Linked DNA regions of Elephas maximus indicus. The protein of the gene in region 2 interacts with the protein of the main gene of each other region in a biochemical or structural test. Links are inferred from orthologs where the notes say so. Each region holds a gene or a part of one and is shown on either strand. Other genes may lie near its edges.

Region 1 (7,559 bases), on a different chromosome or scaffold from region 2:
GCTCTTTCTATTCGTCTCTCAGCAAGTCCTGACAGCCCCACCTTCACAATCAATCCAGCTCCTTCTCACCACCTCCACTGCCACCTCCCTGGCCCAAGTCACCATCTTCTCTTGCTTTATTTACAGAAGAGAAACCTGAGGCTCAGAGAGGTTATAGACTCACCCAAAGCCAGCCAGTAAGCATGTATGTGGCTGGGGTGCAGAGAGCTACTGGGCAGGCGGTGATCTTAGGGGGTTCCTACCTCCAAGGTGGCCGCTGCTGGTCGGCTGCCTCTGCTGGTGACTGGCGTCCCGCAACAGCCTCCCCTCTGGCCTCCGCTTCTGCTTTGCCCATTACAGACCAGTCTCAACATTGTGGCCCCAGGCACTCAGCAAACCTGACCAAGTCCCCTCTGCTCTCAGCTCTCTACTGTTTCTTTTCAGAGTATACGCCACAGCCCTTACAATGGCCTTCGAGGCCCTGCCCAGGCCACCTGTCCCCCTCATTAACTCTGATGGCATCTCAACTATTCTCCCCTGTACCTTCTTTCTCCTCTCCGGCCTCACTAGCCTGGACCACGACTTGCCTACGGGACTTTGCATATGCTATTCCCTCTGCCTGGTACTCTCTTCCCACAGACACTTGTGTGGCTCACCCATATCCCCTTCAAGGTTTTGCTCAAATGTTGCTTCTTACCAAGGCTGACCCTGACCCTGGCATCTCAGTTAAAATCCCATGGCCAGTCCTCAGGACTCACCTGACTCTGTTTGCATACACGCCCCTCTCCCAAGCACACATTATCTTCCCAGACATTATAGCATTTCCCTGTCTGCTTGTTTGTTTATGGCCTGTCTCTCCAACCCCACTAGAATGTAAGCTCCACAAGGGCAAAATTTTCATCTCTGTGGTCACTGATGAAGGAGTCCTGGTGGCGCAGTGGTTAAGGACTGGGCTGCTAACCAAAAGGTTGGCAGTTCGAACCCACCAGCCACTCCAAGGGAGAAAGATGTGGCAGTTTGCTTCTGTAAAGATTTACAGTCTTGGAAACCCTGTGGGGCAGTTCTATTTTGTCCTGTAGGGTCGCTAAGAATCAGAATCGAGTTGATGGCAACGGGTTTTTAGTCACTGATGTGCCCCTAGAAACGGGGACAACACGTGGGACCTGATAAAAGGAGGAAGAGAACACTGAGGGGGTCCCAAGGAGGGGTGGGTACGTGTTGTTATTCGCCTTCCAGTTGATTCCCACTCATGGTGAACCCATGTATGTCGGAGTAGAACTGCTCCGTAGGGTTTTAAGGCTGCGATCTTTCAGAAGCAGACGGCCAGGCGGGTCTTTTCAGTGCCTCTGGGTGGGTTCGAATCACCAACCTTTCAGCTAGTAGTCAAGTGCTTAACCGTTTGCACCACCCAGGGTCTCCTACTAAGTACTCAATAAGTGGAGGAAGAGAACGATGAGGGAGCCCAAAGGAGGGGTAGGAAGAGCCAGGTTGGGTGTGGAAACAGCTGAGAGCAGAAAAAGCTGCTTGAGGATCCTCTGCAATTCAGCCTGACAGGACAGAGTGTGCAGGAAAGAGGGAGGGGAGGCCACCCAGGCCTTCCTGTTCCTGAAGAAAATGGGAGTTATATAAGCTTCGGTGGGTAAGCGACATGGTCTGGTGTGTGTTTTCAGAAGGTCTCTGTAACTGTCTCAGGTGCCAAGGCCCGTCCCAGGCACCAGGCACGTGAAGACTATAGACAAATGGCCACTGCCCGCCAACGTCCTTCCATCCGGGCTGGGCCTGAGTAGGTGGGAAGGGCAACCAATAGCCTGTGCTGGAGAGTAGACAGCTCTTTCCAGCAACTTCCCACACCACCCCCTACATGGCCACTGCCTGGGAGGACTGTCTGCCACTTCAGGTAACCTGCCCCAGCAACTGTGCAAAAATAGCTCAGTCCTAGGGTAAGCAGGTAGCCTACGGCAGGATGTAGCCTGGACAGGCCACCAAGGAGCCTTCCACCCCTGCCTCCTACCAAAGGTACCTCAAGCATGACCTTAGTCAAGTCACTTCCCCTTTCTTGCTCTCTGCCTGCTCCTCAGTGATTTCTGTCCTGGCCCTACAACAACAGCTACGTTTTTTGGAGCATCTCCGATGTGCCAACACTATGACAAAGTGCTTCCTATATATTGCTACTAATTGCCCCGAAAACCCTACAATAGTGATGTGATTCATTGCTTTATTTACAGAAAAGGAACCTGAAGCTTAGAGAGGTTATAGACTCACCCAAAGCCAGCCAGTAAGCATGTATGTGGCTGGGGTGCAGAGAGCTACTGGGCAGGAGGTGATATTAGGGGGTTCCTACCTCCAAGGTGGCCGCTGCTGGTCGGCTGCCCCTGCTGGTGACTGGCGTCCCGCAGGAAGCCTGGGGCCACACGGTGGCGGTCGCTGGGGCCTGAAGGCCAGTACCCTTCGGGGCTGGGGCCCAGGGCCCTGTCTGCAGGGGTGGAGTCTTCCCGGTCACTCTGCTCAAACTCTGGGATCTGGAACATACTCTGGGCTGTGGGGGCAAGATGGTGGGTGGTTAGGGCACAGCCGGAGCAAACGGGAACCTGTGGGGGTACAGCAGAGACGTCCCTGGCTCACTCTCTGCCCCTAGAGCCCGCCTGCCTCCCAGACTCATCTGTCTGCCCAGTCTGGCTCTGCCGGGTGCTCAGCCTGTCCAGCTGGGACCTAAATCTTCCCTTGGAGCACTGGTGCTGTAGGGCAGCCCCAGACCCCCACCCAGGCCGTCTCTCCTGGGATGACCGCACACAGGTCTCACCCCAAGCCCGATCTCGAGGCCCCTGACCCGGGCCTGCCGTCTCCCTCCAGTACTGAGGGCGCCCTGCCCTAGTTGCTTGGGCAACGGGAACTGTCACCGGCCTGGCCCAATCAACTCGTGAAATGTCACTCGGGCTGGACAGGAGGCGGGCCCACTCTATACCGGCCCCGCCCCACCGCCCAACCTGCAGCCCGCCCGATGATCTCCTGCGTCCCTTCTTCTTCTCCGGATGTTCAGCTCCCGACATCCTCACGCCTTGGGCGTGTGTGGAAGCCGGTGAGGGATTCTCTGGGGGCCTCCATTTGGAGCCTGGAGACTCGTTTCTGCTGATAAGCCCTTCAGCCCCTCCGGGGCTTAGTTTCCACCCCTGTAAAATGGGGATAATGACACCTCCCTCCGGAGCCAGTGAAAACTTTGTAAACAGAGTGGTGATTACTGTGGCTGAAAGCACTTTGCAAAGTCGCAGTTGACAGTCAGAAGTCGGATGCAATGACTTGCTGTTGTTACGGTTCTGGAGGGGTGATGGGGTCGGCAAGTCCCACTCCGTCCTCTTCCCTAGCGTGGGAACCGCGCCGTGGAAACCATGCCGCCCGCAACAGGGCACCACTCCCCGCGCCATCTCTGGAGCATCCGAGATAAGAGAGGGAGCCTCCACCCTGGCCGGATGACTGCCCGGGGCGCAGAGAAGGCGCAGGGACCCCTGTGAGGGTGACCCATAGTACTCGCGACGGTTTCGCCCCTGGCAGGCAGCATGCAGGCGGCCGGCCAGGTGAGCGGGCATCACCGCGGCGGGCCAGTTCTTGGGGCTGGCTGCCCAGCGGGGGCTCCGGGGTCCAGCGGTTTAAGACCCGCGGAGTCGGGGGGGAAGGGAGGCAGACCCGGAGGCCATCTTGGCTATGGGCGGAAGTTCCCTTCACAGGCGAGGTGACGAGAAATCGTTGCCGCCCCCCGCCGGGGACACGATCCGGGTTTGGGCATAGAGAGGAGAAGGATGGGAGCTGATGGGCCCCAAACCAGCAAAGGCCAGTGGTCCAGGCCACGGCCCACCCGAGCGCTAGTGGAATGGGGCGCGGCTCCGGCGTCTAGGCCGCCCGCCGCCTCTCGTAACCCCTGGAGCCCGCTGACGGCGCACCTCGCGCCAATTCTCGAACGGCCCCACGCCGGGCGCGGCGCGGGGCTGCGGAGCCGAGGTCTGCCCCTGCGCAATTTGCGTAGCGAACGGCGCCCGCGCAGGCGCAGAAGGGGGCGGAGCAGCGGGAGCCGGGGAGCCGGAGCCCCGGGTCCCGGCGACCGGAGCCGGCTCCCCCAGCGGCGGTCTGAGGACCAGACGGCGGTCTCCACCAGCCCCCCGCGGCTGGAGAGGAGACGCGGTGGGGGGTGGGGTGGAGGAGCGTGCGGAATCCCGAGGAGAGAAGGCAGAGGCGCCCCCATTCGGATTGTTGGAGGGGAAAGAACCCTCCTAGCCTGAGGAGGGGGAGAGCGGGGCTTTGGGGCGCCCCCTGCAGGGGCCGATACCCTGAGCGGACGCGCATCGCCGGCTCTCCCCCTCCTGCTGACACCGGCACGAGTCAGCACAAGGCCGGGGATCCCTCTCCTACAGCCTCTGCACCTATCCACCTGGCTCTGGGGTGGCCCAGGGAGGAGACCCCCATCTACCCTGGAGAGGAGAGGCTGTCCTTTCACGCCCCTGAGTGACGGGGCCGGGGCCCAGGCTGCCTGTGCCCCGCAAAGACGAGAATCCCTCTGGTGAGGGGAAGGACCTGGCCAGCCACAACGCCTTGCCCCCTGAGCTCCCTACCTCTGTCTCAGCACCCACCCGCAGTCCCCTCCCCTCCGTATTTATTTCCCTGGGCACTGGCCAGCCCGTCCATCTCTGTCTTCTCCGGGATTCAGGCCTCCCTCCCTGATATGGAGAGTAACCTGTCTGGCCTGGTGCCTGCTGCTGGGCTGGTGCCTGCGCTGCCACCCGCCGTGACCCTGGGGCTGACCGCCGCCTACACCACCCTGTATGCCCTGCTCTTCTTCTCCGTCTATGCCCAGCTCTGGCTGGTGCTCCTGTACGGGCACAAGCGGCTCAGCTACCAGACGGTGTTCCTGGCACTCTGTTTGCTCTGGGCTGCGCTGCGTACCACCCTCTTCTCCTTCTACTTCCGAGACACCCCTCGAGCCAACCGCCTGGGGCCCCTGCCCTTTTGGCTTCTCTACTGCTGCCCTGTCTGCCTGCAGTTCTTCACGCTGACGCTAATGAATCTCTACTTTGCCCAGGTAACCGTGGTAGTGGGTAGTGGATGGGGGCTGGTGGGGGGTGTCAAGCGCCAAGGGCCATAATGAGTGATGGGCATTTCTGCACCCAGGTGGTGTTCAAGGCCAAGGCAAAGCGTCGTCCGGAAATGAGTAGAGGCTTGTAAGTACTTGGGGCCCTGATGAGCTCTGCCTCCAGGCCAGGGGCAGGGAGCAGCCCAGTGTCCATCCTTTCCTACCTCAAAGGGCTGAGGCAAGGGCAACCCAGGGAATGTTTGTGAATGAGGTTGTTGTTGTTGTTAACTGCTGTCTAGGTGGCCCCCGCTTATGGTGACCCCACGCACAACAGAAGGAAACACTGCCAGATCCTGTGCCATTCCCATTGGAAAAGTTAAAGTACCTGGCACAGATGGCTTAGCAGAGGCGTTGCGTATGTGAAAAACAACAATAATAGAAGCAGTAGCGATACTGCGAGGGGTGAGGGTACCAATGTCATCCATGACAGAGGATGCTCCGAAACCAAACTGCACCCTGGGTGACATGGGCCTATGGTCCCGCTGTTATTTACATAAAGTTTTACAGTTTTATAAAGAGCTTTTACAAACACTGTTAATCTTTATAACTAACCTGATATTATCCATATGTGAAAGATGAAAGAACTGAGGTCCAGCAAGGTAAAGGAACATGTTCAAGGTCACAGAGCTGGCAGGAGGCAAAGCCAGGACTCAGACCCAGATTTTTGACTCCCAGTCTCAGGCTCTTTCCACTGTATCACAGCCGTCAGCTACCGCCTGACTTCTTTGGACCTCAGTTTCCCATCTGTAAAACTAGAGGAGCAGGGTTCAGGTTGAAAGATCTGTGGTTCTGATCGGCTCTGGGGGCTCCTTTGGGAGGTTAGGTGAGTGGTGAGCACCAAGTTCAACCTTCTGGGCTGACTGTGCTGTGGGCTGCAGGCTGGCCGTCCGAGGGGCCTTCGTGGGGGCCTCGCTGCTCTTTCTGCTGGTGAACGTGCTGTGTGCTGTGCTATCCCGCCGGCGCCGGGCACAGCCCTGGGCACTACTCCTGGTGCGCATCCTGGTGAGCGACTCCCTCTTCGTCATCTGCGCACTCTCTCTTGCTGCCTGCCTCTGCCTTGTGGCCCGGCGGGCCCCTTCCACCAGCATCTACCTGGAGGCCAAGGTAGGGCCACAGGCTCTAATGCCTGGGTGTCCTTTGGGGTGTCTGGGCAGCCATGTTTGTTGGACAGCAGCCTTCAGGATAGAAAGGAGGCTGGAATCCACTCCTTCCTGATGGTCACCGTTGTTATCTGTGGCAGGGGACCAGTGTGTGCCAGGCAGCTGCAATGGGTGGTGCCATGGTCCTGCTCTATGCCAGCCGGGCCTGTTACAACTTGGCAGCCCTGGCCTTGGCCCCCCGGAGCCGGCTGGACGCCTTCGATTATGACTGGTACAACGTCTCTGACCAGGTGGGCGTTCAGCAGGTCTGCTGCCTCCTAATAGCCATGGCTCCTGGTCCCTGTCCCAGTGCCCCATTGGCACAAACGCAGATTGGCGTGAATCCCTGCCTTCCCCTAGGCGGACCTGGTGAATGACCTGGGGAACAAAGGCTACTTGGTATTTGGCCTCATCCTCTTTGTGTGGGAGCTGTTGCCCACCACCCTGCTGGTGGGCTTCTTCCGAGTGCACCGGCCCCCACAGGACCTGGTGAGTGCCTCCACCTTCCTCTGCGGGCCCAGTGGAGAAGGGTGGATGCTGGGAACCCTTGGGCTGGGCTGGGGGGTGGTAAGGGAGCTTGGTGGGGGCCAAGAGAAGGCATCCATGGTGGCTTTTTCCCCTCCCCAGAGCACCAGCCGCATCCTCAACGGGCAAGTCTTTGGCTCCCGATCCTACTTCTTCGACCGGGCTGGGCACTGTGAAGATGAGGGCTGTTCCTGGGAGCACAGCCGGGGTGAGAGCACCAGGTAGGAGTCCCTACCCTGCCTCAGGCCCCCTGAGCCATGGCCCTCCCCCAAGGTTTTTGTTTCCTTGTCAGTATGAGGTGAGGCCCCCTCCTTCCCATCTCCCCCTACTCCACCCAAAGATGCAGTTGGGCAGAGTCTGGGGAGGGGAGCCCCTCCCACCATGCTCTGTTCTAAGCCTTTTTCCCTCTCCCACCTCTTGTGAACGTGGTCCTGGTCACTGCCCTGGGACTGACCTGGTTTCTCTACCCACAGCATGTCAGGCAGCCTAGGCTCCGGCAGCTGGTACGGCTCCATCGGGCGGGAGCCGAGCTGGTGCGGGGGCAGCCAGACGCGGACTACTCCTCTGCTCTTCTCCCAGGTGCCGGGACCAGGCGGCCATCACCACAGCCTCTACTCTACCCCCCAGACGTGATCCCCCACCCTTCTAGGATGCCCAGACCCCAGTTCCCCTCCCCCTCAGGCCCCTGAGTCAAGTTCATTTGCTGCTTCTTGCCCAGGATCCTAGGGGCTGTAGCCGCCTCCTTCCCTGGCCGGCTCTTCGGCTGCTCCTGTTGTAGTGAGCTTGTGCCACCCCCTAGG
Region 2 (7,908 bases):
AGTCTTTCAAGCCATTTTGCTAATGAAATTTTTAATTTATGCCTCGGTCTCAGGTTAATCAAGCTAAACTCTTCTATACTCTATTGGTATAAAAACTGCCCTACTTTCAGGGGCTCTCTTGTACTGAAATGATGTGTATGAAAGGACTACTCTTCCAAGCCTCATACCAACCAAGCAAACTCTTTCACTTGTCAAAGGTAGCGTGAATCTCTTCCACTTATGCTATCATAGAAACCGAACTTTATATGAGCCACAAAATAAAACAAATATTCCTTTGATTCAGAGTTAACTTGCAAGAGAGCAGGAAAAACCTTGTGCCAATCCTGAATTGCTAAGGCAAACTGCAAAACAATAATTAAACAAATAACTGTGAGAGCACCCTAAAGGAATATACAGAACACCTTGTCCTTAGTATATGGAGTTCTTATCAGTCTTCCCCCTCAATAAACAGTCAATACCATCACCAAATACTATTGAAGCCTACCATCACTTTCAAGTTGGCAAGTTTCTTGAACACAGGCCAATTTAGATCACAAAGCTTTTCGAAGCGCCTTCTCTATGCGAAGCAGGGACTAGAAGCTAAGAACACATAGATAAATATAATACAGTGTCTCACCCTCATAAAGCAAATAATCTCAATAACGTGTTGCCTTCTTTAGTACACACCCAGAAAGCCCCTTTACCGGCTATCTCTATCAGCCACAGTTTTGTTTAGACTGTTATATGTATTACAAAAACAGGTAAGTTAAACCACACACACGCACGCAGGCACACACACACACACGCACGCACACACGCCCTGCCACACCAGTCTGATCCCAAGAAAGGAGAAACGTTCGGCAAAGAAAGGGGCAATTTCCCCATTCCTCCTTTAAAAAATCACCAGCTTACTGGCTCATCTTTCAAAGCCCAACTAAAATACAATTTGGAACAAACTCGTCAAAAATCAGTATGCCTCTTTTAAAGTGGCACTTAACCAAAAAAAAAAAAAAAATTAAGGCAACCTATGTCAGAGATTCTATATTTTACCAGTAGAAACAACTCTTTGCATCATCAGAAACATTTAAAAATACACCAGGAAATAATGCTAGTATTTAAATTAAAAAACTTAATCTTATCGATTAAAAATAACAAGAGTCTGTCCAGGCAATGACAAAGCTAAAAATGTCATCTATCACTAATAAGGGTGAATCACAGCAGTCACCTCCTCCACCCAATAGCCACCTTTGCTAAGACTGAACAGCTTAAAACCTAGAAAGCTTTCCTTGCCTACTTCAAGCCAGAAATGAATTCACTTCAAATACTAAAGTTTAAATATAGCTATGCAATAGCAGGAAACTATTAGGAAATAATAAATTTACCAGGACATTTTGTTCTTTAGACTTAGTTCTGCCTTCTTCACAATTTAGCGCGCCCCCACCCCCGTTTTTAACGAGAAGCCTAACAAATACTCTTAACTGAAAAATGAATCATGCCTTTGGATTTTCAAGATAAATTTCTATTACTAGAGTATAGGAGGAGACGTTACTACACATTGTCTTATCAAAAAGGTGACTGCATCTTCTTTTAACTCTGAAGCATGTGAACTGATTCAATATTTAAAGGGTTCACTGATGTCCTCTGTAAGCCGTTTCCCAGGACAAGACGCTTCAGCCCTGCACATGTACAAACCTACTGGGACATTTGAATCCATATTGTGTAGTAGCAGCCTAGAACTGGGGAAAGATTCACTCATTGCTGGAAAATCAACTTGAGTCTCAAGAACTTAAATTGAATAAAAAAGGCAAGGATAATAACCTTCTCAGAGCCTCTACATTGGCGAACAATTAGGCAAGCCCTCGCCCCCCTTTTTTCCCCATTCCCATGAAATTCTCAATGAAAGGCATTACACAAAAGGGCCTCGGCGCTCCAGACACCCGATTCTGACGCCCCCACCACCCATTCTCCCACCACCGAGACCACCAGTCCAGACTCACCAGGACGGTGGTGCAGATGGATCTCAGTTCAGACTCCACTTTCTCCCGATAGTCCTTAATCAGCTGCAACTTCTTGTCGGAGGTGTCGGTTTTCTGCTCGATGCTCGAGATGACCCTCCAGGCGGACCTGCGGCCCCCGACGACGTTCTTGTAGGCCACCGAGAGCAGGTTGCGCTCCTCGTTGGACAGCTCGGCCCCCTGCTCCGTCACCGCCTTCATGCAGGTGGCCATGTCGTCGTAGCGCTCAGCCTGCTCGGCCAGCTTCGCCTTCTGGATCAACTCCGTCTTCTCCATGGTGGACAGGCGGCGTGCGGGGCTCGGGTGGCGGCGGCGCTCCGGGAGGGGACGGGGAGAAGAGACAGGCAGAGACAGCGAGGGCGGCGAGAACCAACCCGGATCAGGAAGAGCCCTCCTCGAAAGCCTGCGGGAGGGGCGGCGTGGGGAGCGCCGAGAGTGGCGAGATAGGAGCCGAGAACAAAAAGGAGGGGGAGGAGAGCGCGCACCGTCAGACAATGCGGCCCACACCCCGCCCAGCCCGCAGGCCGGCCCCGCCGCCCCGGGCCGCCCGCCCGCCCGCCTGCCTTTTGTCTCGGCGGCCGCGGCGGAATTGAATTTCCCTCTCCCCCCCGCCCACGCTCACCCGCCTAGGCACCCCGGGAGAGGCCGGCGGGGCGGGGTCGGCGGGGCGGCCGGGGGCTGAAAGGCCAAGGCCGAAGGCCAGGGAGGCGGAGGCGGCGCCCACGCGGCCAGCCAGCGGCCCGGCGGCGCGCGGGAAGCGGGAGGAAGGGCCACCCCCGCCCAGCCCGGGAAGCCCAAAATGGAAGCGGTCGTCAGCCCTGCATTTTCCCCGCCGATCGCTGCCTCTGAGGAGACTGGCGTCGAGAGCCAGCCGTGGCCGAGGGCTGCGCCTCCCACCCTGCCCTGGAGCCCAGGAAGGCCGGAGGAGGGGCGGGGGAGCGATCCCGGCGCTCACCTTTACCGTCTCCGCTACCGCGACGCGAGTCCCACCACTTTGATGTGCTTTTTAGCTTTAGCGAAGGACCCTCCCGTCTCAGCCTACCCCGGAGCCGAAGGGCGGGCAGCGGCGCGACAGCCCTCGCGCCCGCCGCCCAATGATACGCCGCTCTTCCCCCAAGAGTCCCACCTCCTACTCCGTTACCAACCAATGAGGACTAAGCGCGCGGAAGGGGGCGAGGGAGGGGGTGGGGTGGGAGGGGAAGCGGAGGACAGGAGGGTGGGTCGCATTTGGCAAAGTTCGGTTGGCCGGTAGGCTGCGGCTTCGGCCACGGGGTTTCCTCCAATTAGATCCAGGGTAAAAGGACGTCACTGTTGCCATGGTGATGCTGTTACCAACTCCCCTCATCCTCCCCGCCACCCCCGGCGCTTCTGGGTGCGGCACGAGACCGAGAGGCTCGCAAGACCTCTCCCGCGGTGGCAGAGTCTCTTTCTGCAGCAGCCACTGCAGATGGTGCATTGCATCTTGTTGCCTAATGCAGCTGCAGCGCTGGTCGGTCCTGACTGAGGCTGGGCTTCGGAGGGTGACAGAATGGGCCCTCTCGCTGCACAAGCGCCTTTCTTTCCTCCACCTTCCTATTCGTGACAAAGGTTTGGAGCTCAATATACTAAACCCAGCCTTTAATGACGTTGCGATTAGGGCAGCAAATTAGAAACAATCTCATCCCCATTAGAGAAGATTTAGTTCCTGGAGAAAGTGGCTTAAGTGTGGCTTTTACCTGATAAATTCAAGTTTTCCGACGGGTACCTAAAAACTAAAATTCCCCTGCATAAAGGTAGATCCAAGGAGGTCTAAGCAGACTTATCTGACAATGCTAGTTAGCATGATTTAAAAAAGAAAAAAAAAATGACATTAAGGACCATTTGGAGCAAAACACCCAGAACCTGCTCCCCACATCACAAGCAACTAATTTTAAATTTCCACCTTTTCTATATTTAATGCATTTAAATACATTTTCTTTTCACATCACTATTTTATGTGTAACATGGTTTTTATTTTCTGGCGTTATTTTTGAGATGACACTTGAAAAGCCAAAATTCTCTCAAGACGTTGTCTTCTGTTTTTCTCCTCATGGTGAAACCCTTCTGAAGTGAAAACGATTGCCCCAGATGCCTTGTTTTCAGGGTGGCGCCTAACATCTTCTTGTTCCTTGCCTAGCCTCCACCAGCTACTTCTTTCTCTGCTGGCATTTCCCCAGCCCCTCAAGTCCAAGTTAGGTCTTCTAGGTCTGGGAAGGGGCTTGGTGCCATCTTGGGATGTAAATTGCCATCTGGGCACACAATGTTATGATTCCAGTTCCAGCAAGGGAGAATGGATCATTGAAAGCCAAGGAGTGCCACAGCCAAGTAAGAATTTGAAATTCCAAGTGGAGACTGAGAGCAAATCTGGAGAATCTCTAGAATGGAAGACCTGAGAGTGCAAACAGATGGGAGGAGAGGATTCGGACTTTCCAGAAATTTAAACTCTCTCCCAGCTGCCCCTCCCAGTCCTGACTTCTAAAGGTTGCTTTGTATCTTGACAGACAGGAGAGGCCTGATTTGGAAAAGGCCTGTGTCTTAATACAGAAATGCCTTACTATGTTCCAGCTTTCTAATGGAGGGCCCTGCTGTTATTTCTGGAATCCCTGGGGCTGGGCTGTAGACACACGAGTGTTTATGGCCATGTGGGCTGGGGTGGAGCCGGACACGGAGAAATCCCAATGGAAAGAATTTGCATGTAGAAGGTCAGATAAAATGCTTTCTGTATAACCAGTGCATTTCAAGTTTACTGGAATTAGAAACAGCAAGGGCAGAAGCCAGTGGAGGTGGTGGTGGTGGGGAGACACTGGAGGGGAATCGTCAGGGGACTGAACATCAGTGGTAGGGAGAGAGGGGTCACCCAGAAGGGGCGAGCACACTAAATTCTTTGTCAGAAAGCCTGGGTTGTACTGCCATCTCGCTGGGTGACCTTGGGCAAGTTTTTGCTGCTCGCTGTACCTCAGCTTCTAGAAAATTCCTACTTTCATTCAATCATCAAATATTTGTTGAGCATCTGCTTCACATGGTGACAATCATCTGGAATCATGGTGAAAACTTCTTCGAAAATTTGGCGCACTGTGGAATTGTAAAGTATTTTATGAGGGTCCAGAGGGATAAGTCTGTATACCTAAAGACCTCTGCACCCAAAAGAGCTCAAGTTGGAGAAAAATAAGACTCTGAGAGCTTGAATTCCCTGGACACATAAAGTACTAACATTTATTTTAAGTCTCTTATAAGCATTGTAGGTATTGACTCGACGGCACTGGGTTTTGTGTTTTGTAAGCATTAACTCATTTAGTCTGCTTAATACCTCTATGAAGTAGGTATTACTATGATGAGTGTCTCTATTATCTCCATTGAGGCACAGGAAGGTTTAAATATTATGCTCAGTGTCACACAGCCAGTGAGTGGTAGAGCCTGAATTTGGACCCAGGCTCTCTGAGCTCTGATGGCACAGTGGTTAAGAGCTACTATGATCTCCAAGGAAATAAGTGAGCTACGGTTGCTAACCAAAAGGTTTGCAGTTTGAATCCATCAGCCACTTCTTGGAAACCCTATGGGGCAGATCTACTCTGTCTTACAGGGCCACTATGAGTCAGAATCAACTCAACGTCAATTGGGTTGGTTTTTTTCTGGTTTATGCCATGGCTGCCTCACCAAGTTTCCCCAGATCTTTGCTAGGTGCTGTGGGGGCTTCTAGGAAGGATCAGACAAGTCTGTTCTCTAGAAGTTTCATTCTAATAAATACGAAATATGTTAAATATCCACATCCAACGTGCTGAGAACCCTCAGGAACAAACAGCTAACAAAGTACTGAGAAGTCATTGCCTTATTTATTTGATGTTCTTGTTATTTTTTTCTAAATGACCTGGTGAGAAGAAACTGATGGGACAGGGGGAAGCACACTGGACCTGAAACCAGGAAATCCTAAATCCCACTCCACTGTTCATTTGCAGTTTGACCTTGGACACCTTATTATCCTTTCTTAAACTTGGTGTCCTAACCTGTGATAAAACCCATTGCCATTGAGTCGATTCTGATTCATAGTGACCCTATAGGACAGAGTAGAACTGCCCCATAGGGTTTCCAAGGAGCGGCTGGTTGATTCGCACTGCGGACCTTTTAGTAAGCAGCCAAATTCTTAACCACTGTGCCATAAGGGCTAAAAGTACATTTTCACCTCCCATGTGGGAGACCCAGCTTCGATTCCCAGCCAATGCATTTCTTGAGCAGCCACCACCCATCTCTCGGTGGAGGTCTGGTGTTGCTATGAGGCCGAACAGATTTCAGTGGAGTGGCCAGACTAAGACAGACTAGGAAGAAAGGCCTGGAGATCTACTTCCAAAAATTAGCCAGTGAAGCCCCTGTGGATCACAGTAGTCCAATCCCCAATCAATTATGTGGATGGGGTATAACCGGGCAGCATTTTATTTCTTTGTGCATGGTGTCACCGTGAGTTGGGGGCTTGACTCGGCAGCAGCTAACGATAACAGCAATAATAATCCCTACCTCAAAGGGTTGCTGTGATTAAATTTCACTTAAGAAAATGCCAGGCATATAGCAGTGGTCAGTTAACATGAGTTTTCTTTCCTTCTGCTTAGGGTGGGGACTCAGGGCAGGAGGGAGGTGCTTGTCCTGCTGCAAGGAGCCTTAGAGTCTTCCAAAATGTTAGTGAAAGCTTATCTCTTGAATCATGGTTCTAATTAGTGGAGTTAATGGTCTGCAGAATGGCTACATTCAGTGTACATTCCAGAAGGAATGAGTCCTCTGGTTGAGTTTACTCTCATCAATTGTTTCATTGGTTTATTTGCCCAGCACCATGGATCATCAGAGAGGAATCTGTTCCTCTCCTACCATATGGCAGGTATTTCACTGACAAATGTTTGAGTGGAACTTTTCACCCAAAAGGCCCGTATAATTATTATCAATACTTCTGTTTAAGGGATAAAGAGTTGCACCCCCTCCCGCCTTTAGCCAGCCCTGAGGTGCTAAATGAAGACTCACTTAGAGCCAGGGTCAGGTGGAAAAAGCCAGCCTGGTCAGGAAAACATCTTCCTACACATTCCCTGGCTTAGGGCCAGGGTTAGGCCTAAAGCATTATCCTTCCATCAGCAACTGCAGCCGGCAAGGTTTATTCCTGCCATCTGCAGGCTCCCCAGTCAGTGCACTTAATTGCTTCATCTCTGACATCTCCTGGGCACCCCTAAGCCACACACTGTTTTCAAACTCTCTTTCTTCCTACCTCCCTGTAAGTGCTCAGGAAAAAAATGTAATAGACTCATTCCATCACATAAAAAACTTGTAAGTATTCAAGCAATATTTCTTCTGCCATTATTTGCATTTTAAGATGAAAGACAGCTCTTAAGTCTGAAGAATAAAACTTTAATGGTAGAATGGTAGGCATTCTAAACAGCTCTCAATCAGCTGGCCACTTGGGGAAGCGCTTTAGCATTCTGACATTTATCCAGCATTTTCTGTACGCCGGGCAATCAAGTTTGTTTGTTTTTTTAAATGCTCAAATGTTTTTGTAGTGATGATAATGGTGATGACGATAATCTTAATAAGGAATGTAATACCACTCGTTATACAAAATAAAAAATCAAATGCAAAAATGTTAAACATGAAAAGAAATTAAGTGTGCAAGAGAAAGTAAACAGGGGTTGGGAGCCTACCTCTGAGAGGTTATCATTGTTTTCATTTTGGTGACTTCTAAATAATCTCTCTTCATTTGTACACATGTGGCTATATGTGTTGGGAGCCCTGGTGGTGCAGTGGTTAAAGCGCTCGACTGCTAACCAAAAAGTCGGCAGTTTGAACCCACCAACCACTCCACGGGAGAAAGACATGGCAGTCTTCTTCTGTAGAGATTTACAGCCTTGGAAACCCTATAGGGCAGTTC

The links. The genes of interacting proteins can lie anywhere in the genome.
Region 1: the proteins of YWHAQ (region 2) and BAD form a complex in vitro, tested with the Homo sapiens proteins (2 studies listed by BioGRID). The link is inferred for Elephas maximus indicus from reciprocal best matches to the Homo sapiens genes YWHAQ and BAD.

Annotation. Positions count from the first base shown.
Region 1 is NC_064825.1:127,465,656-127,473,214, forward strand, and holds the start of BAD (bcl2-associated agonist of cell death), read right to left. Parts: upstream 2,978-7,559; 5' UTR 2,964-2,977; intron 2,871-2,963; exon of another isoform or gene 2,780-2,870; intron 2,516-2,779; 5' UTR 2,508-2,515; coding exon 2,321-2,507; intron 1-2,320. Other genes in the region: integral membrane protein GPR137, read left to right, coding at 2,978-3,055, 4,673-5,044, 5,134-5,183, 5,974-6,199, 6,336-6,485, 6,595-6,723, 6,862-6,980, 7,233-7,392. UniProt on the Homo sapiens protein: Promotes cell death. Successfully competes for the binding to Bcl-X(L), Bcl-2 and Bcl-W, thereby affecting the level of heterodimerization of these proteins with BAX. Can reverse the death repressor activity of Bcl-X(L), but not that of Bcl-2.
Region 2 is NC_064830.1:19,016,693-19,024,600, forward strand, and holds the start of YWHAQ (14-3-3 protein theta), read right to left. Parts: upstream 3,060-7,908; 5' UTR 2,950-3,059; intron 2,398-2,949; 5' UTR 2,271-2,397; coding exon 1,977-2,270; intron 1-1,976. UniProt on the Homo sapiens protein: Adapter protein implicated in the regulation of a large spectrum of both general and specialized signaling pathways. Binds to a large number of partners, usually by recognition of a phosphoserine or phosphothreonine motif.